2 linked regions of the Coturnix japonica genome follow. The protein of the gene in region 2 binds, or shares a complex with, the protein of the main gene of each other region. Links are inferred from orthologs where the notes say so. Each region holds a gene or a part of one and is shown on either strand. Other genes may lie near its edges. The genes, in order: FGF8 and FGFR2.

Evidence for each region.
Region 1: the proteins of FGFR2 (region 2) and FGF8 are in contact, whole or in part, in a crystal structure (PDB 2FDB), measured with the Homo sapiens proteins. The link is inferred for Coturnix japonica from reciprocal best matches to the Homo sapiens genes FGFR2 and FGF8. Residues at the interface, in NP_000132.3 of Homo sapiens: Glu160, Lys161, Glu163, Lys164, Leu166, His167, Ala168, Val169, Pro170, Asn173, Asp247, Val249, Arg251, Ser252, Ser282, Asp283, Ala284, Gln285, Pro286, His287, Ile288, Gln289, Ile291, His293, Leu309, Val311, Leu312, Lys313, Ala314, Ala315; in NP_149354.1 of Homo sapiens: His53, Val54, Gln57, Asp62, Leu64, Ser65, Arg66, Leu68, Ile69, Arg70, Tyr72, Tyr75, Arg77, Gly80, His82, Val106, Glu107, Thr108, Thr110, Phe111, Gly112, Ser113, Val115, Thr148, Glu149, Ile150, Val151, Leu152, Glu153, Asn154.

Annotation. Positions count from the first base shown.
Region 1 is NC_029521.1:19,851,683-19,862,277, reverse strand, and holds the start of FGF8 (fibroblast growth factor 8), read right to left. Parts: upstream 6,982-10,595; 5' UTR 6,519-6,981; intron 6,027-6,518; 5' UTR 5,943-6,026; coding exon 5,911-5,942; intron 5,803-5,910; coding exon 5,766-5,802; intron 4,127-5,765; coding exon 3,946-4,126; intron 835-3,945; coding exon 728-834; intron 1-727. UniProt on the Homo sapiens protein: Plays an important role in the regulation of embryonic development, cell proliferation, cell differentiation and cell migration. Required for normal brain, eye, ear and limb development during embryogenesis.
Region 2 is NC_029521.1:27,520,402-27,530,474, forward strand, and holds the end of FGFR2 (fibroblast growth factor receptor 2), read right to left. Parts: intron 9,080-10,073; coding exon 8,957-9,079; intron 7,937-8,956; coding exon 7,866-7,936; intron 6,420-7,865; coding exon 6,282-6,419; intron 5,438-6,281; coding exon 5,332-5,437; intron 1,943-5,331; coding exon 1,778-1,942; 3' UTR 191-1,777; downstream 1-190. UniProt on the Homo sapiens protein: Tyrosine-protein kinase that acts as a cell-surface receptor for fibroblast growth factors and plays an essential role in the regulation of cell proliferation, differentiation, migration and apoptosis, and in the regulation of embryonic development.

The sequences.
Region 1 (10,595 bases), about 7.7 Mb from region 2:
AGTGGGCGCAGGAAGGGACAACACGCATTCCATGAGGACAATGGAATGATGTGAGGGATTGGGGTTAGGTTGCTGCCCGGATTTTGGCTGGTGCCCTATCCCTGGAGATGCCCAAGGTCAGGTTGGATGGGGCCCTGATCTGGTGGGGGGCACCCAGCACACAGCAGGGAGTGGAACTGGGTGGGTTCCCAACCATTCTGTGATTGTACAGTCCTCAGCGCCCTTTCTAACCCAACCATTCTGTAACACCCACAGATGCTGGATGCAGGGAGCATGGGACAGCTGAAGGATGAGCTTCTGCACATCAGACAAAGCACAGGGAGCAGGGAGAGGACCCAAACTGTTGTGGTTCCCAACTAGTTTAATATCAGCCAGCCCCAAGGAATGGAAAAGCCCTCCTGAAAATTCATTTCCCTGTTAGGATTTTGTTCATCCACCCCAGGGTAGGAGCATGGAGGCTCAGAGGGAGCGTGACTAACCGGTGCGCTCAGGGCCTGCTCCACAGAGCATCTTAACATTCCCAGCCCTTGTACCATGTAATTGAGGAGAATAGCCCAGCAATCTGCCTATTTGTTCGGGGAGATACAAGGGCACTGCCCCACACAGCACCCACCCTCCCCTTCCCTTGCTGCCAGGCTGCAGGTTCCTTGTACCCAGACCCCAAATAGAGCCCTAGGCTCCCTACCCCACCTCCCAACCCAGAGATGGGTGCCAGCCCCCACCCTACCTTGCCAATCAGCTTCCCCTTCTTGTTCATGCAGATGTAGAACCCCGTGGCTGCCCCTTTGATGCGCACACGGCTCCCAAAGGTGTCAGTCTCGACGATGAGCTTGGCTGGGGAGAGCAGCAAGAGGAGAAACAGAGAGGTCACAGGGATGGAGAGCCTGGCAATGCCAGCCTCCTCCCTTTCAGTGCATCCCTGCATGGCAGGCCTTGGTCACCTCACTTTGTCACCTGGAGCAGCTCTGCCTTGCTGAGATCTACGTGCCTCAGATGCCATGGGAACATCCCAGGAGGAAAAAGGGAACGCAGGGGACAAACCAGCTGCCCTGCACAGTGCTCTGCCAGCTGTCCCCAGCCCATGGGGACACCGTGCCGAGCTGGGGCTGCAGGAGGAACAGTGACTTTGCAGCTGGCAGGAGAGGCGTGAAGGGTACGGCCATCCTTTTAATGCCTTTCACCTTTGTGCGAGTCGAGAGGGCATATTGATTTGGTCTCAGTTTTTTAATGGAGGCATCGATTGACTTCCGAAGGAGCTATGCAAATCGCTGGGTCGATGGGCCGCCTATAAATAGGTCTGTCACCTTCCCCACTGCAGCCACCCTGGGAACAGAGCATCCTCCTCCCCGCCCTGCAGCCCTCCAGCAGCTCTCCTCCAGAGCAAACCCCAAATCCAACAGCAGCAGCGGGGCCATGCTGAGCCAGGTGCCAAAGGCTTCCCCACAAAAAGCCATCCAGGGCTGTCCCACCTCACCACCACATCCTGCCACACACCAGCCCTCACTGCTGCCCGCCCAACTTCAGAGGGCAATCAGAGCACACAGCCTCTGTCCCACAGGGTGCCCCTGTTCTCCCAGCTCTGCAGATGGGGTGCTCAGTTCCTCAAGACCACTATGCAGCTCGCTTTCACCAACAGCCCCCAGCCCTGCAGTGGCTTTGAAGCAATGCTGCTGGATGGCAGACCCAGGCCGCGTGCTAACTAAACCCAGCCTGAGCAGTGCTTCAGGACCACAAATAAATCACTGCCTGTCTCCATGATGTCTTGATCCTGCATCAAGCGTGGGGACTTCTCCCACTGCCCCCCACAGCTCCTCACCTCCAGCACCCCCTGCACCATCCTGCAGCCCCAGCCCAGGGAAATCTGGCCACTCTCACCCCACACAAGCCCCTTGTAGGGGCTCAGCATTCCCAGAGCACTGAGCCAGGGATCCCCATTCACCAGTATGGGGGAAGGATTGATCTGGGAGGCAGTCCAAGCTTTGAGGAGAATTGATTTTTCCCTGCTCTCTCCCAGAGATAGGAAAAGCAGGGAGGGAGGGAGGAGGAAGGCAGGCATGGATGCGTGGTTCTCCCCTCTGGCCCCAGAGTCACAGCCATCACCCTGCAAGATGGGGACAGCCCCGAGCGAAGGGACCACAGAGGGTGAATGGATCGACTGCACCATGAGAGGAGCCGGCAGCGCTGCCGGGGCCAAGAAGGAGTCCATCAGATATTGACAATTAAGACAGATAACGGAGAGCGCCGGGCTCCATGTGAAGTCGGCTGTAAAAACGTCAGCGTGGGGAGAGGGGTCACCCGCAAAAATAAATCAGCGCCTTCCTCCCGCCCCAAAAATCAGATGGGAAAAGAAACCAGTGCAGCAGAAGGAAGGGCCTTTGCTAACGAAGGGGGCTTTCTTCTGACAAAGGTTTCGGGGAGACCCTTTTTCTCCCTGTTTAAGGGACAGAGGGAGCTTAACATTTTCAACTCTGCTCTTTCACTGAAGTGACAGATTTATCCCAGAAAAGTTATGTTTCATACTCAAACTTTGAAGGGAAAGCGGCTACGTAAATGCTGAAAAAATGCAGCGAGACACACTTGATCCCCCAACTGGACTGCGAAGAGGAGAAAGTATTCAGGAAATGTTAAAAAAGGTGAAAGTAAGAAGCGATTTAATAGCTCTTCCAGACATGGGGGCCTCCCTGGAGATTCATATAGAACAATCCCGAACCTCTATTTTAACATTTACAGACTTGCAACTCCTAAAACTTTACATCTGAAAAACTGCTTGTTCTCTTTCTGCTTTAGATCAGCCCTCGTTTTCCTGCCCCGCTCCTCAGATGCTTCACCTCTTTTATTACGTTTTAATAGAGTTTTTCGAGCCGCCGCCGCGTGTCCCCTCCTTTTGGCCTTATTTAAACCTGGCCGCTCCTGGAGGTGTGGAGCTGCCTTGAAAACGCAGGCGTTACAGGGCTAAAGCCAGAGGAGGCTTTGGGGGTTGTTCGGCCCTTTTGCTTGGGAAGTTGGCTGACACCCCTTCCATCCCGGAGTGGCTCCCTGCTAATGCAGCACATGGGATTCCACGCACAGCTGAAGTTTGGTGCAACATTGGCAGCCAAAGGAAAAAGGGGAATAAAAACCCAACACCAAACCAGTCGGGGAAGGAAGCAAAGTGCTCCTACTAATCTCCCTCAACAAGAAAGGGAAATTGCAGCTAATGCCAAAGAACAACACTTGGGATGGCTCCATACGGCACACGCTGACATGGGCACCTCCTGCCCACAAGGGAATGGGGTGCAGTGCCCCACTCAGCGCGGATGGAGTTGACACCACTGTTCCTGGTGTGACACCAGCACACATGGTGAAGGTGCCCTGGCTTTGGGTGGCTGCAGCGTGGCACTGCTTTCCTCCCCAGAGAACCATGGCCTGGGGGGACACATGGTGCCAAGAGCAGCACAGCAGCAGGAGGGCTGCACACAGTTGCTGAGCCCCCCAGCTTTGTCTCCTCCTCACCTGCAGTCAGCACCTCACTGAGCCCACACTCCTTGCTCAGAAAGGGGAAGCACAGGGGGTACGTGGGGGAAACACCGCTTCGGATGTCTCTAACTCAGGGCAGGACTCCAGAACAGCACTTCACCTACAATTTCAACCCCCCTCACTTCTTTTCTTTTCCAACTTTGCCCTCTGTTTCTCCTCCAAAGGAAGAATCAGAGACGCTCAGTGCTGCCTGTGCCAAACTGAGCCTTGCAAGTCAGGTGCACAGCAGCACTGAGCAGCACCCACCCCACAAGCACCCAGACCCACTGAGCGCTGACCCCGCTGTTCTCCCTTCACAAACCCCCACACACTCCAAACGATCCTAATGATTTCTGCTCAACCAACAGGACGGAAACCATCAATCGGCACACAGCACTGAGGACACCTCCCAGCCCCCCCCTTAGCCCCCCCGGCCGCGTCCTTCCTTACCGTGCACATCCCCGTCCTCTGCCATCGCATTGATTTTCTTGTTGTCCAAGATCTGCACGTGCTTCCCGCTGGTCCGGCTGTACAGCTGGTAGGTGCGCACGAGCCGCCGGCTGAGCTGATCTGTCACCAGGCTCTGCTCCCTCACATGCTGTGTAAAATTAGGTGGGGACTGAACAGTTACCTTTAGGAAATTAAAAAATATACGACACACCATTATAATCTCTACTCCTCAGAGGGGAGAACGGGCTGAGCAAGGATCACCAGCGCCTGCAGAGGAGGAGCAGAGTCAGTGGGACGGGGGGGAGCTGAGCCCTTTGGGGACCGGGATCCCCCAGATGAGTGTGGGTGTCTTGGGGACATGAAGGAGCTCAGGGACTCCCAGTGTCCACTAGGACTCAGTGGGTCCCAGCTCATATGGAGGTACCTGAGATGGGGTATGCAGCTTCCAGGACCCCCTTTCCCCAAAACACCCTGCTCTTCATGCCCCAAACCCACAGATGAGGTAGAGCTATGAGCCATCAAGACTCCACTCCCCTCACGGGGTATCTATAACACAAACCCCAAGGAGTACCGTTACCGACGTGTGAGCCATCCTTCACCTTCACCCCCATCCCGGTGCCATCCCCATCCCAGTGCTGACCCCCGGCCCCATAGCAGCAGCCGACCCAACTCCTCCAGACCCTCTGCTCCCCAGACACAAGCAATTCAGCCCGATCCGCTTCCCCCATCCCCAGCACAGGGCTCCTTTCCCTTCTCGTCTCCATCCCCTCTTTTAAGTCCGGAAAGTTTCGCTGCTCACTGACATTTATAAAGACGTATTCTGAGCAAATGTTAGCGGGTCGATCCTTTCAACACCAGCAGGCCGGGACCCCCCCGCTACCCCCACGTCAAACGGGAAGATTCCCCACCACCAGCAGACCCCAATAAAAGCCGGAGCCGCCGCTCTCCCGCAGCCGCCCCTACACCGACATTTCCCCTCTCCAGTGCCACCCCTCTGCCTCCGCGCCTTTCCTTCAGCCGCCTGCGGATAACGCACGGACTCTCCCGGCCCTGATGAGGGTACCATGTGGAGGAGAGGTCATTAGCCGTGCCGCTCCGTCTCGTCCTCCAAAATATTACAGCTATGTTTTATACAACCGCACACTCCTTTTTGCTTTGGGGCTGGAAACTCCATTTTTTTTTTTTTTTCCTCCTGAGCTTCCAATGAAATAATCATAACAATAATAATAATAAAAAGCGGCTTAAGGAGCGTTTTCAAAACGCTTCTGCACCTGTGGCCTCGGGGGAGGGGGTTTCACCCCGCTTTGCACACACAGCCGCAGCCCCATCTCCTGCTGACACTCCTGGCCCCGGCGATGCCAACCAGCAGCAGCAACGTTCAGCTGGACTGAAATCTACGCTTTTTAGTAAGGAAATGGACTTTCTTTCCCTCCTTCCCCTTTTCCTTCCCTTTTCTCTTTTCTTCCTCTCCTCCCCCCCACCTTTTCCTTTATTCTCCCCTTTTTTCTTCCTCCACCCCGACGCTTTTATCTCGATTCTACTTTACTTTTCAGATGAAAAAACACCCCCACACGAGAGGAAGGGCCGATCCGTAGTGCGATTTGAAGAAGAACGGGAGGACCGAACGGCCGAAGCCCCTGCAACCAGGGTGGGCGAGGGGTCCTCCCACCCCCGCACCCCATCCCGCAGCCGGTGCGCAGCCGCCCGCTCCCGGCTCTTTCCAGCGGGGCTCGCGTCGTCTGAGGGACTTTAAGCCAACCCCCCGTCCCGACCCCCAGCCCCGAGGGGCGAACAAAGCCGGCGGCGGAGCGGGAGCTTACCTGGGCTTGCAGGCAGAGGACGAACAAGTGCATGAACCTGGAGGGGGGGGTGGACAGAAAACGGGAGAGAGATGTGAGCCGGGGGGCTGCGGGGAGGAAAGGAGGGAGGGCTGGGGGCAGGCGGAGGGAGGGCTGCGGTACTCACACGTAGCTGAAGAGCGAAGAGCAGGGGTCCATAGCGGAGCGCTGCGGGGCCGGCAGCCCGGAGCCCGGCGGTGGGGTGGGGGCGCGGCTCTGCTCGGCTCCTCGACTCCTCTCGCCCTGCCTCGCCCCGAGGAAAGGAGGGCACAAGCGGCTACAGAAGGGGAAAGGCCCCCGCCGGCCCGCCCGCCCAGCCCCCGGGGGAGCGCGGCCGGCAGCCCCCCGCCGCGGGGAGCCCCCCGCCCCGCTCCGCTCCGCTGCCGGCCCGGGAGGCGGCGGGGGCGGAGAGCCCGGGGGGCGGCCCCGGCGGAGCAAGGGAACCTCCGGCAGCGGCCGCTCGGGGGTGGCGGCACTACGGGCTCGGCCGGCGGAGGGATGCCGTCCCCGCGCCGTGCCTCAGTTTCCCCATCTGTAAAACGTGGCTTACGGGTCCGCGTTGTGGATTGGGGCCGAGCCCTCTCGCTGGACGTGCCAGACATTAAAAGGATTACCGGGGCGGAGGGGTGGGCAGGAGTTTCGAGAGGCTGAGCAAACAGCGCAGCCGGGGGTACTGGGCGGCGGGACCCCCCCCTCTTCCCTTCCCTTCCCCGGACGTCCCCGCCGGGCTCTTACCTGGAGGGGCGGCCGTCCGTCAGCACCGGCTGCGCGGGGCCATGGGGCCGCGGCGGGTCGGGGCTCAGCCCCGCAGCCCGGGTAGGGCCGCCGAGGGCTGCATTGTTCGGCGAGCCCCGTTGCTCCCGGCCCCGCCACCTGTTGCGCACCGGGGCGGGGGCTGCGGCGGGGCTGCGGCTGACGGGCGGGACCCCGGGGCCGGTACCTGGCCGGGGCCGCCTGCTCCGCGCTGAGTGACAGCCGCTAATTTGCCGGCCGTGCCCCGCTGCCGGTCCCCGCGCTCCCCGCGCCCTCCTTTATCTTATCAGAGCCCATAATTACAATTGCTATTTTGTTTCCTCGAATCAGCAATCAGCGCTATCTGCCGCCGCTGGAAAGGCAGCTCCTGTCAGCCGGCCTCTGAGTGACAGCGCACACACAGCGCTCCTGCGCGGCCCTCCCGCACCGGCACACGCACACACACACACACACATACACACACACACACATACACACACACACACACACACACACACACACACACACACACACGCACACACACACATACACACACACACACACACACACACACGCACACACGCACCCTGCAGCCCCGCACAGCCCTCCCTGCCCTGCCCGCACACCGCAGCTTGCTCATTCCCCCCTTGCTCGGGCACCCTCCAATGCTTTGCCCCCAAACGCTGCCCACCATCACCCCCCGAGGCTCACCCACCACCAGGCGCTGGGAGCGGCCACCACACCTTGCTGCCCCCTTCTTCTCTGTGCAAAAGACCGGAGGATGTTTCTGAAGGGCTTTCCTGAATGGCTGGAGAAGCCCCAGGCTGGGCCCGCTTTCACCCAGGGGGCTGCAGGGCGGGCTCTGGGGGTGCTCAGCCCCCTGCACCAACCCAGGGTGCAAGGCAGCTCCGTGCCCACAAGCTGAGCACCAGAGCAGGCAGCACAAGGTGCTCCCACCACCCTGCAGTGGAGCAATCCTTCCTTTCTTATACATTGCAAGGAAAGGGGTCTGGATGCAGCACCTCTCTCCCAGATGCCACTCGTGCTCACCCCTCCGTGGGCGCAGGGTCAGGCCATGCAGCACCATGCAGTGCACAGAGCGCACAACTGCACCGTGTCCAACTGATGCTGTGCTGGGGGGTGGGAGGCAGCCGGGGGCTGACAGCTCCACGTGCCCCCTGCCCTCAACAAACAGGCTCGAGTGGCAGCACGGCTGTGACACGGGGATCACCCACGGGCGGCCGCACGTCACCGACACAATGACAAACAGGCTCCTGCTGCTGCCCCGTCCTTCCCCAACTTTGTGCAGGTGAGCAATGCCACGGGGCGGGGAGCTGAGCACTGGGCTCACGTCTGGCTCTCCTGCTGGGCAGAGAAAGCTCAGCCTGAGGCACTGGGCTGAGCTGCCATAGGGCGGGGGGAGAAATCCCGTCCCAGCAAGGAGCCACGGATCTGCGGTGTTCCTGCTGCCACAGCGGTCACTCCTGGGGCAGGCAGCCAGCACGGCCCCATCGGGTCTCAGTACTGAATGCTGTGAGTGAAGCATCAAACACCCACAGAGATGTGAGCTCTGCTCTCCTTTTCCATAGAGCTGGGGATACTCAGGTCAGGATTTTATCCCCCAGATCACCCTCTTGCCTTGCCATGGCTAATGGAGATTGCCCAGGAAGGCAGCCTGTGGTCAGGCTGCTGGTGGTTGAAGGAGATACCAGGGCTGCCCCAGCTGGGCTGAACCACGGAGCAGACAGCAGACGGGCCGTCCTGCTCCTCTGTTTGCTCCATCACACAACATCCCTGACAGCCTCCACAGCTCAGCAGTGTCCCTGCTCCAGCACCGTCTCTACCCACAGCCCTGAAGAGTGAGCAAGTCAGCCCAGAGGGGCCCCTTCTGCCAGAGAAGCTGTGGCTGCAGTTCCCCACAACCCCCCAGCACTGCTGGTACAGGGATCACAGCACCAACCCCAGCTGATGGAGGAGAGCAGCACCTGCAGGGGGCACTTCAGCACCCATCTGAGGGTGAGAGGAGCTCCTGGCTGCAGGTCTGGATGCTCGGCCACACATCTCCAAGCAGGCACACAGAGACCCCCCCCAGCGGAGCCAAAGGGACACCACTCCCCCTGCTCTCACCCTCCCCATTCCTGCCCGCAGCATTAATGGGGCGTTGTGGAGGCAGCAGCTCTCCTCCATGGCTGAGTGGTGCTGAGCAGCCCGGGGCGATCCCACCACTCACCATTAACTCAGCATCCCCCCAAGGGCCAGACCCCACCACCATGCGTGGGAATGAACTTGTCTGCACTACCCACAGCTCCAGGAACAGGGAGGGGGGTACAACTGCTCCCCGTTCAGTGAGTGGCACCAGGGCTGAGAGTGGTGGGAATGTTGGGACAGGAGAACAGCAGCATGGGGCTGCATACACCCTGCACAGGACCAACCACAGTGGTGTGGCCCCATTAGGTAGACACAGAGGGAGGGACTGGAGGTGAGCCAGGGACATGGGTAAAGACCAGAGAGTGCCCACGAGCTATGGGGGAAAGGGGGCAGCAATGAGAAGGAGGACTCCCAGGCCACACACACCTCCAAGGAGGGAGAACTGGTAAAGGTCCCAGCCCCAGCCCTGAGTGATTTAAACATGAGGTTGGGCATTTTGGTGTCCATCTTCTCTGTACACATCAGCCCGAGCAGAGGTACGGTGGGCCTTGGACATGGGAAAATGGAGACATGCAGATGAGAATAAGCACATGTGGTGCTTGAGCAGCTCTACCCCATCCCTGCTCCCAGCACAGATCAGACAGCAGCCCCAAGACCTGCTCCCAGCGTGCTGCTATCTGGCACAGCCCACCCAGCACCTTCCTCTTGCCCTGCAGCACATCTGACTTCGGTTTGGGTCCTCCTGGGAAAAGGATTCCTGCACCCAGCCCTGTGGGGGGGCTAAGCCTAAAACCAACAGTGGTGGCCAGGGGGCTGTCGGCTGGCTGTAACACTACCTCCATTTGTTTGCTTATAGCATCCACCCAAAATGCCCGTGTGTGTGTCTCCAGGCCCCTGTGTCAGTGGCAGCTGAACTGCTGACCCCAGGAGTTTGCAAAACATCAGGGTTATGGCCCCTTGGACACCACAGCCCGGTGGAGATGCTGCTCATCCCAACCTCATCCTGGGGAACCAGCCCCAAGCATGGGGACAAGCGAGAGCCAAGCCCAGAGGAGGGGCAAGGTGGGCACACTCCCCATCGCACCTGCTGCTCTTTGGACCAGCCCCGTGGACTTACCCGAGCTCATCCCTCCAGTTCCCACCACAGGCACCAAATCCTGCCCATCTCCCCTAAGAACAGAAGAACAGCAGGTCCGGACACCCCTAAATCCCACTGGGCTCAGCCCTGCTGCCACCAGCCCTGGCAGGGAGTTGTGGCCAGCGGTGACAGCTCTGCCAGCACCAGAGCCATCCCAGCCTGCAGCGATTAGAAGGGTCAGAGGGCAGAGCACCTGTGACCCCAGGGTATCTCAGCTGTGGCTGTTGGGTGCAAAGCTGCCATCGCTGCCTAGGGATGCAGGAGGGGACAGCGTGGCAGAGCTGTGCTGAGCAGATGGAAATTCTTGCTGTGCAGCAGTGGGCACGGACTGCAGCTGTCCTACACCACCCAACCATGTTCACTTCTAACACCTGCCCTGGGTGCGTATGGCTTTGGGTCTGTCTCACAGCACGATCTGTGCTCCATCATCACCAGGCACTACCCCAGCTGCGCCCCACAGCCCTGGTTGTGCTGGGCATCCATTCAGCCACCGGTACCCGAGGAGAAAAGCAAAGTGAGAAGCGGAGCACTGATGGAGCAGGGAACCAGCCCCACCTACAGCACGGCCACAGCTGTGCCTCGCATGGGCTGCCCTGGGTCAGTGTCCCGGGGATGTTATAGCAGGGAGGGATCCACCCCCTGGGATGTATCGCACAGCACCCCAGAACACAGCCCCAGGGAGGAGGGATGCTCAGAGCCACCCCCCTGATCCCACGCTCCCCTTCCCACGCACCCCAGCACAGTTGTACCTGAGCTCACCCGCTCTCCTTCAGCCCTGTTTGTTTGCCCAAGGT
Region 2 (10,073 bases):
ATATTCTTTCTACAAGGTCTGTTTTCTTTCCATCAGTTAGTATTTTTTTGTTTGTTTAAATACCATTCCTGAAGGAACTGCTTTGGGGATGTGATATGAAATGCCCTTCTTTGATAAGGGCAGAAGGAAGCGCTTCTGGATGCGTTCCATCACTCAATGTTCAGGAAACCATTTTGTATGACACAAAGGATTAGGAAAAATAAGCTGCATGACATTTATTTTGTAATTTTAACATTAATATCTGTAGAAACATTTTATTGTCAGTACAAAAGTTAACAGATTTTAATACTTCTTTTACCCAATTAAAAAAAACCAACAACAACAACACACATAAAACAGTGTAATTTGCATTCATATCGCATGGCCATATCAGTGTGAGGGATCTGAAAGTACAAACACAAGACTTCCGTACAAAGATACAAACAACAGTGATATTTTAGCAGAGGCCAGTGCTATACCTACTGTTATGGAATGAATCAGAAGGAAATACTGGAGTCAGCATGAATTAATCCTTTAAAAAGATGCTGATATTCCTATGGCAAACGGTCATTATAAACAACCTCTCTCTTTTTAAACTTCAAGCTACAATAGAGGGATAGTCTAAAAGGCAAAAGATCCAGGCCAAAAGATCTGGAACCTATTACCCAACCCAGTGAAGAGAAATCTATTTAATCTGTTGCATGTGCAACCCAGGGTAGAAGCTCAGCTCCTTTTAGAGCTGTACGTCCTGCTATGGTTATAGACAAGTTAATGACTTGCCTTACTTTAGGAACCCATTCTAATTGTTTTCTCTCTTTCTCTCTTTCTTGGTGGAATGATTGGATTTTCACCATGGGAAACACCGCCTAAAGAGTTAAGTTGTTAAAGTGACAAGTATTGAGAATAAAAGACATTCTTGTTAAAGGATTTGGTTTCGATAAGAATCATCATCTGACACTGCAGTTTTTAAACACAAATAAATCACAAGTTTAATTCCCCCAAATTAGTTATATACTGTAAATATTTCTTTTCTTTTAAAAGATCTGAAAACTAGTAAAGTCTGAGCAATATACCTACTAGTTCTCTGTGCTGCCTGCATAGAAATGCCATTTAAATTACAAAAACACAACAACCCTATAAACGATTAATTGTTTTGTACATTACCAATTAGTTAATAAATTAATGATATACCATTTTCCCTGAAAGCAAAGTATTTTCCACCCTTGGATGGTGAAAATTAAGAAATTCTGTGTAAGAACAGCATTTAGCAAATAGCTGTTAAAAAAGAGACTAATCTGCTAGGTGGATTGGGACATCCATTTTTAAAATCAATACAAAAAATAATTCATTGTAAATATATATAATATATATTTATACATATTTTGAATATATTTACATACATCCAGCACCTATATACTGCATTTGTGCTCTGTAAGTGTGTGCCAACATATATTTTCTCCAAATATTACAAAATAAACAAGAAAGGCAGACCCAGAGTTTGCCTCAAGTCCAACTGGTCCATTGTACAAACAAAGTCTGTTGCAGCTTAGGGTAAGACAGAAAACCAATAGCGATGGGTATCTAGAAACAGCTCATAAACATTCTTCTTCCTTGGGAACATTTAATACAAGTTGCACATTATGAGATCTTTAATGTAGGATCTGACTGCTTTCCTCCAAGTTTTCTTTTTTCCTTTCTTTTTTCCTCCCATATTTCATATGTACAGGCAGAATTTTAGGGTCCCGGAGAAAAGATGTTGTTTTGTATGTGGTAGGTAGCTTGGTGTTCTTGCTTCTTTTCATGTTTTAACGCTTCCATTCATGTGTTGGTACTTGGGAAGACAAGGTTCGTAAGGCATTGGATCAGGAGAAAAAACAGAGTCATCACCTGAAGAACACGAACTCCTGGTGTCGGGGTAACTAGGTGAATACTGCTCCAGAGGTCCGCTGAGGTCCAGATACTCCTGTGACAAAAGAAATCAATTGAGATTTTAACCAGCGAGTAAAACTGGCAGTAGTGTGTTCCAACTGCTCTGATTTGGCTCGATCACACAGTGGGTAAAAGAGCAGTTTAAAACCAACACTCATTTCCCTAATGCAATTGCATTCTAAACTGCCTGTAGCTCAAATATCTCATAAAACAAGGAGCCTGAATAAAGAAAGAAAGCCAAGCCAATAACACAGTACTTTTGTCAAGTCCAACGGCATCCACATTAGCCGCGTCAGTGGAAATAAACATGCCAACCACATCAAAAGAAGACTTTTCACTTACAATGATAAAAATGAAATTTCATCCTAAATAGAACCATTTTTCTCCAGCACGTGGTAATGATTTGGAGAGGGAAAGATACTTCCAACTTTGTATTCCTTTGGTCAATTTAAATGTCTGTTTTATATTCCGTGATATTAACTTTGCGTTTAAACATGCAGTGGCAGACATAAGTGCAAAAAAAAAAAAAAAAAAAAAAAAAAAACCTGAAAGAAAATTAAATTCACTCAATTGGGTTCTTTATACTCCATTTTCTTCTCTGTGTGTCTGTGTGCACGCCTGCGTGCCCCAGAGAGTAGCCATGACCAAAGCAGTCATTAAAAAAGGAAATAATATCTGCTGAATCCAAGTTTTGGGTTAAGGCTCTTTTGTTAGAAACAACAGTTTTGGCAGGAGAAGAAAGTTATTTTCCCCCTTGAAATGTTCCTTCTCTTTCAACTTCTAAAGGCAGCTGCATTCATTTAAATGCAATCTCTTCATTTGCTAAACCACAAGTTATGATCGTACTGACGAGACGAGTCCTCCACCTCAGTCGGTGCTTTATGCTGCTGTGCTTTGGGTTGGAGTAATTTCATTCTTTCGTTGATATTTTTTTCCCTTAAGTCAGAAATGTGACCATGTTATTGCTTAAAAAATGGTCACTGTTTTAAGATGGAGGAAAATGTAAGCTTTAAAATGCCAACAAATGTAATAGGCAACAAGGGAAAGCAGTTTGGATCAATGATGTTCAAAAGATCCACAAGGACAAGCTTGGCATGTATTTACGTGTAAGCAATGCAGCAATGCAACCCTGTGTAACCAGAAATGACTGAGCACTTTCTAGAAAGTCAGAAGAAAGTCTTCCAGCATTTGAAGCTTTCTTGTGGGACTGCAGACGCAGCTTGTCATATCAAAAGGCTTGGTATAATTCAGTATGAGCTCAGAACTGAAGGTGGGGATCCCCATCTCCTCTCCAGCCAGCTTGTTCAACATAAATAGCCACAGTAAAAAGTCCCCAGCACTGGGATTTCAATGAGGCTTGGGCAAAATAATCACTTACACACATGCAGAACATATTATTGGCAAACTAATTTTGGAGCTGCTGGGCAAGCCAGGTTGACCCTGTATCAACAATGGCATATGTGGGAAAGACAAGGTACCATGGTGGAGTGGATGAGTAAAAGTATGGTCAGATTGAGGCATGGAGTGGCTGTGCTTCAGCTAAACTGCACAGCTTACTTGAAATCAGAGGTCTCGAAACCACATGCAGTGGCAGAAGATGGGACACACTGGAGCTCATAGACAAGAGAAGTAACTTGCTTTCTTAATCCAGGGCAAAAGCAGTGTCATAAGATGAAGGCTTAGATATTAGGAAAAGCCTTCAAGAGGTAGAACTATTGAAACAGAGCAGTGGGCTGTTGTGGGGCAATGCAGAAATGCAGCAGTGGAGACATTCAAAGACAAAGTTACACAAACACGTCAGACATGATAAATGTACACTGGATCCTGCTGCAGGCCGCTCAGGTGGACTGGATGTGTTGCTGAGCTTTTTCCAGACCTTTTCCCCAACAAATTGAGCCTAAAGTCATTTACATCACCCTAAAGGCCTTTTCAGGTTACCTTTGAGATCCTTCCAGGCCCCATAAGCGCTACACAACTGGAAGACAAGATGCTTAAACACACAAGAAGAGGAAGAAATATCCTCTTCCAGGCTTAGAATTACAGCCCAGAACTTCCCTCTCGACTTTGCAAATGCATTCCAAGCCACCAAGCACACTGTGATGGCAGCCAGCCCACTGCCAACTGCTCTTGTATGGTGTGTAAATGATGCAGGAAGGGATTCAGTTAGTGTTGGATGGGGGAGAAACTGTAAGGGTACACATAGCTACGCCGCTGGCTTAGTCAGGAGCACATATTCCTGCCCCATTCCCAAACCATTCCTGAAAACGCCACGTTTTGGAGAAAAATAATCCAGATAAATTTATAGCTGCTGCTGTAGCCAAAGAATCTTCTCAGCCAGAAGTGTAGACTTACTCTACTAGATAAATGATGTTCATAAAAAACAGCATCTTATTCAAGGTCTCCCACCATCTTTATGCAGTATAGGCTTTCCTATATGCATATGAATAGACTATGAATATCTTTTAAAAAATAAATAAATCTGAGAACTCTGAAAAATTAGAAAGTAATGGTGACACACATAACATGATGCAAACCTTTTTTCTACATTCCTCCCCCACCCCCTAGTATATAGAAGTGCTATAATAAAATATACTGAAGAACTGTTGAAGTGTTCTCATCCCCCTCAGCCCCCATCTGCATAACTTGCCCCAAATGACAGGAATTTGTAACATGTTTTTGAGGTACGTTTTCTCTCAAAGTTCCCACCAAAACAATCAATATTTCCATTACTCGTGATCTTCCTCTAAGGTGCCTGCGATATAGCAGTAAGAGAACCGATTCCTGTGTGGATACGCTAATCAGTGTGTTTCTTGCTAGAACTAATCATATTTCAGACCTCTGAAAGAGTGCTGTTCAGATGAAACCCTTTTGCATTCATACAGCCCAACCTGAAGCAGTGTTAGGCAGGACCTTTGGATAATTGGATGGCTGTTCACATGCTCCCTGCGGGCCCTTGTTCCCTCCACCGAGAGCTACTTTAGTGAACCTAATTCACTCTCAGACACAATCTGAAATCTACTATTGACAATTTCTCCTCTTCTGACCTAGATATCATGGCTGGGAATCAAACTGAGCTAATAAATGAAAAACGTCATGAACTCTCCTCCACTCCTCCACACGAAACTCATGCTGAAATATAAACATTGCCGCTCAGTCTGCCACGTGTATTTCCTCAACAACACTATGCTAAAAACATAAAAAATACAAAGAGAAATTAACAAAAACATTTTAAAGATGTGTTTGTCCTGTTACATAAACCAAGACATAATGACAAGAAACTGAGGATTTCATAGGATACATAGTTTAGCTGCTTCTAACTACAGAGCATGGTGACAAACAGAGCAAGAAGAGAACAGGATTTCATAACTGCATAAATTCCACTCATCCTGATTAGTAGCTTATGGAGGGAAACAATCTACGTACCTCATTAGTTGTGAGAGTAAGGATCCGATCCAAGTCTTCTACCAACTGTTTAAAAGTTGGTCGCTGTGAAGGTACAGCCTGCCAGCAATCTCTCATCATCATATAGCTGCAAGAAATGCACATTTTCTTGGGTTAATTAAAATCACACATCCTTCTGATAAGCCTTTTCATACACAGCCAGTATTCTTCACCACAAGTAAAGCAGCGAGCTCTCCATAGTCTTAAACATGGACAACTGCCTCTGCCCAAACCATACAATGCTGTCACTTCCCTCAAAAGATGCATCTCTATTTCTATCCATGCTTGCCTAGCATCTGAATTTCCTCTTTGTGGACCTGAGTCTGCATTCTACCGTGGCATTTCAGCAGCATTAAATTACATGTGCTTAAATCTTTTATCATGTAACAGACTGCAGCCTTTGTGAAGTGAAGAAATTAAAATGGGGGATAAAAGCAAAAGCTATCAAGAGCTATATTGAAGTATTAGAAAAGGAAAGCACTCTCCCACTATCTCTGGTAGACAGTGCTGTGCTAATGTTAAAGCTCCCAAATGCACTTTTTTTGTGTACAAAACCAGCTGGTTGTAGCTTATACAGGATAAGAGTCTGTGTGTGGTATGGCTATGTGTGCCATTTATGAATTTTCACATTTCATGAACCCAAACTGAGTAAATAAGGGTCTAAAAGTACTGACAAAGACTTGCTGATAGATGAGCTCATCCATTTTCAAAGGGATCACAGCAGGGTGTTTAAAATGTCCTCCACCAAACATTTCCTGGAGACCTTTCCATAGTGTTTCTATACACATCTATATGCACACACATTCACTATTTCAGAGCCAACAATTCTGAAAATGCTACATTCTCCTGGGGTAGCATTAACCGTGTGATGGCTCCTTTCCACGTCGGGATATTCTATGATTTCAGTGCAGTCTGCAACCCTTGGTCCTTACAGTTCATTGGTGCAGTTGGCAGGTTTATCCATTCGGTGCCCTTCTTTAAGCAGCTTAAAAAGTTCCTCCACGGGGATTCCTGGGTAGGGAGACCCTCCCAAGGTGAAGATCTCCCACATTAGCACACCAAACGACCATCTGCAAAAGAAAGATAAAACAGCATTAGGAAAATTGCCTTCCCGCTGTAAACAGAGTCATTTAGTTATTTGTTTATTTGTTTGGTAAGAAAACGAAGGAGGGAGAACTTCAGCCAGTTTTCCTGCCTGCTCCCCACCTCCAGAGCTGCCTCGCCACGTCCCGCTGGCAGCCATGGGCCCACTGCCAGGCTTCTCTGCCAGGTAAGCAACAGCGCAGAGCCTGCCCTGGCCCCGAGCTGCTCTGCAGTTCTGCTAGCTTTGCAGCAGTGTATTTTAGTAAACTGTTTGCACAAACTTACAATAATATTATCCAAAGGCACCGTGGGGCCAAAACGTCTCCCAGTTCCAACACCGAAATGCCCGTGCTCTGCGCTTGTTGAGAGCTCACAATGACTTCCAGCTCTAAACCAGCCAAGCCGTTTACTTCACATTCACTTAAATATTTTGTCAAGATGTTATTTTAAAGCAAAAGTTGGCTCCACCCTTAACCTGTGTATATAGCTTCCTTCATAAATAACATAAAGATGGCAGGAAAGGCCTCGGTAAATGCTTTTCTTAAGGAGAGAACAACTTGAGAAGAGCATCCAAGTTAAAGGAGAAGGCACCTCTTATTTTCTCTACCCTGCTCCTTTCTATTTTAACTCTGTGCTGTCATGCATAAGCTTTTACACCTGTGCTGGGAAGCATCCAGCCTTTTACGGCTAACAGCTTCTCTTGGACAAATAAAAAGCATAAGATCTTCATCTGCACTGAGTAAAAAATACACATTTACTTTGAGCTCAATGCATGCGAGCACTGAGGATGGGCCCAGGAACTTTAATAGGAAGCAGAATTATGGGAGCTGTTGCATCAGCCAGCTACACCACGCACATTACAAGATCCTGAAGTGCCAGAGATCCAATGATTTCCTTCTGTATGTGAAGCACTGCTGGGATGCAGCATCTCTAAAATCTGGGAAAGCACTTCTGGTATATCCAGGCTATGTTTTACTGTACACAACCACAGCACAAATTTTCACAAGATTCTTTTTTCTTTTTTTTCTTCTTTCTTTTCCCTCTCTTCATTTTGTGTTGTTTTTTTTTTAACCTGAAGGAAGTGCAGAGTACATCGAAAGCCAAGCAAATTAGATAGACTCTTTGTAGCTGCACATCCGTAAATAAGTTCAAGGGGGGAAACTTCCGCACTGACAGAAGGAGGTTAGCATTTTCCACCTTTCATGTGCTTTGAAGCCAGGCAGATTAGTAACAGAGCACTGGTTAGCAGTCTACCATAAAATCCTCACTTTCTAAGGGCAAGTCCTGTTCCATCTATTAATATGTGAAACAAAATGAAAACGCTTAAAGGGAAAGGATAGCAGGAAAATACATTCTGAAATATGCCAAACTTTAAGGAACGTGAACCAGGTTCCCCTCCTGCCCTTCCAGACTACACAAATAAAGTCACTTACACATCGCTTTGGTGCGTGTAAACTCTGTCAAACAGAGCTTCTGGAGCCATCCACTTTACTGGAAGCCGTCCCTGTATATTTGGAGGAGAAGGAAAGAGGAATGAAAATGAAAGTCCAAAATGAAGATTTTAACACTGATTTTTGTTTCAAATAAACACACAGTTTACTTCAAAAACTTTCATTAAAATAATAATAAAATACCCTCTTATAATTGAGTCTGCTTGCACAAAGTCCATTCACTGAACCCAAGAATTTCATTTTCCTTTCCCCAAAGCCTGCAGCCACAGCTGCCTGTTGCTCTGCATAAAAGCTCTGCTTTGCTTAGAGCCAAGGAGCTGTACCAAATTTGATATGAAATGGATTCAGATCCCCTCCAGCGCCAACAAATCCCTACCTGGCTGCTCCGCCTTTTGGAACTACAAGGACTCTGATAATTACTGTTCAAATGCCATTCATCACTCAGTGCTTTATTTTTATAAATGAGCCAGGCAATGTGATTAATTAATATTTCGTATTAATGCTATTTCGTATTAACAGAGTCTGAAGAACTGAAAGAATTCTGCAAAGTTCCCGTCTTAATTTGGGACAGGTTTAACAGCCAAACAACAACAGGTATTGAAAATCCATTTTCTCAAGCTTTAGACCAGCTTTAATGCTATGGTTATTCACATCCATGCACAGGCAAAATGCATAACCCTGTATTGTGGCACTACTACACAAACAGGACTTTTATTATGGTTACAGCTATCACTGTTTGTGCAGTGTTTTTCTTAATCCTAGGGCTGGTTCAAAATGAGCTAGAATCAAATTTCCACCTATTTCAAATGATTGGAGTCGAGGACGTACAACATGGGTAGTTGTATTCTAGCAGTTATAATAAATCATAAAAAATAGAGCCTATTTGTTTATCTTTTTAAACTAACTGTCACTCTAAGAGGGGGAAAGAATTGCATATGTCCTTGATGTCTGTTTTCTGTCTGATTAAAAGCAAGTCTGCTGGACAAGAAGCCCATTAAGATTATAACCATAGTTTTGAAGTGAAACATTGAAAGAAACACTTGTTCCCAGAGATAAGCAAATCATCCACTTACATTAGTAGTCTTTTTATAATAATCTATATTGTTGATGTCTCTGGCTAAACCGAAGTCTGCTATTTTCATGACATTATTTTCAGTAACCAAAACATTTCTTGCGGCAAGGTCTCGGTGGATGCACTGGAGAGAAAGACAAGACAAAAACACCCACTGAAATACAACACTGCAAAAAAAACCTGGAATTATTTCTAACCATAACTAAATCATAGATTTTAACCCAATTCCTTAGGTTGTAAAGCCACGTGTTTACTGCAAGCCCGTGCAGTATGATTGCTGTAGTTTCCCAGATACAGGGAACCCAGCATTTTCCTTGCAAATGCTGTTAATGAGAGTGTCACTGTGTGCTTCTCTTACATGATATTGGATCAACTGGACTAAAACCTGACAATCCGGATCAGCACAACCTTCTTTAATATGAAAGATCTTAAGAGATGTATCTCTAGTAAGTAATTCTTAGCCAGATGTCTGGGGTGTGTATGTTTACTTCAACCATGAGACTACGGCAATTTCACTTGGGAAAAAAAATAAAGGCCATTTGGGCTGGGCTGTTTGCTTTTCAAACAGCTCTGATACTGAAACTCCAACCAGTATTTCCCTCAGAATTTTTCTTCCTTCATGCCAGCATTATCCTGAAAACTTGGAGCTGATATTTCCGACATTGAAAGGAAGTTGTGGCAGCTCGGAGTATTATTCTAACCTTTAAGTAGGAATAACTTTTGGGGTTTAGACAGAAATCAGGCTTCTAAATCAGCATCAGCAGTGCCACAGTAGCAGAAGTAGCACAGGTCAGCCTTCCTGCCCTGTCCTTGTCCTCAAACCCTACAAGAACCTGCTATGTGACACAAGGAGCTCAAGGCGCTTGCCCAAGTACATGTAGCTAATGTCCACTGATAAGGCAGAGTGCCTTGATGAGTATGGCACAGGATCTAGAGCAGATCTTTCTGCCATTCTAGAGCATCAGGCCCATGGGCAGAACATTTCAAACAGCAGGCAGCACCTCCAGGTGAATCCAGACAGTGAATAAAATCCCACTACCTTCTCTCAGGGTATTTCTGCTCTCTCATACCCTGCAATTTTGATGTTTCAAAATGATGCCATGACAGACAGCCATGTC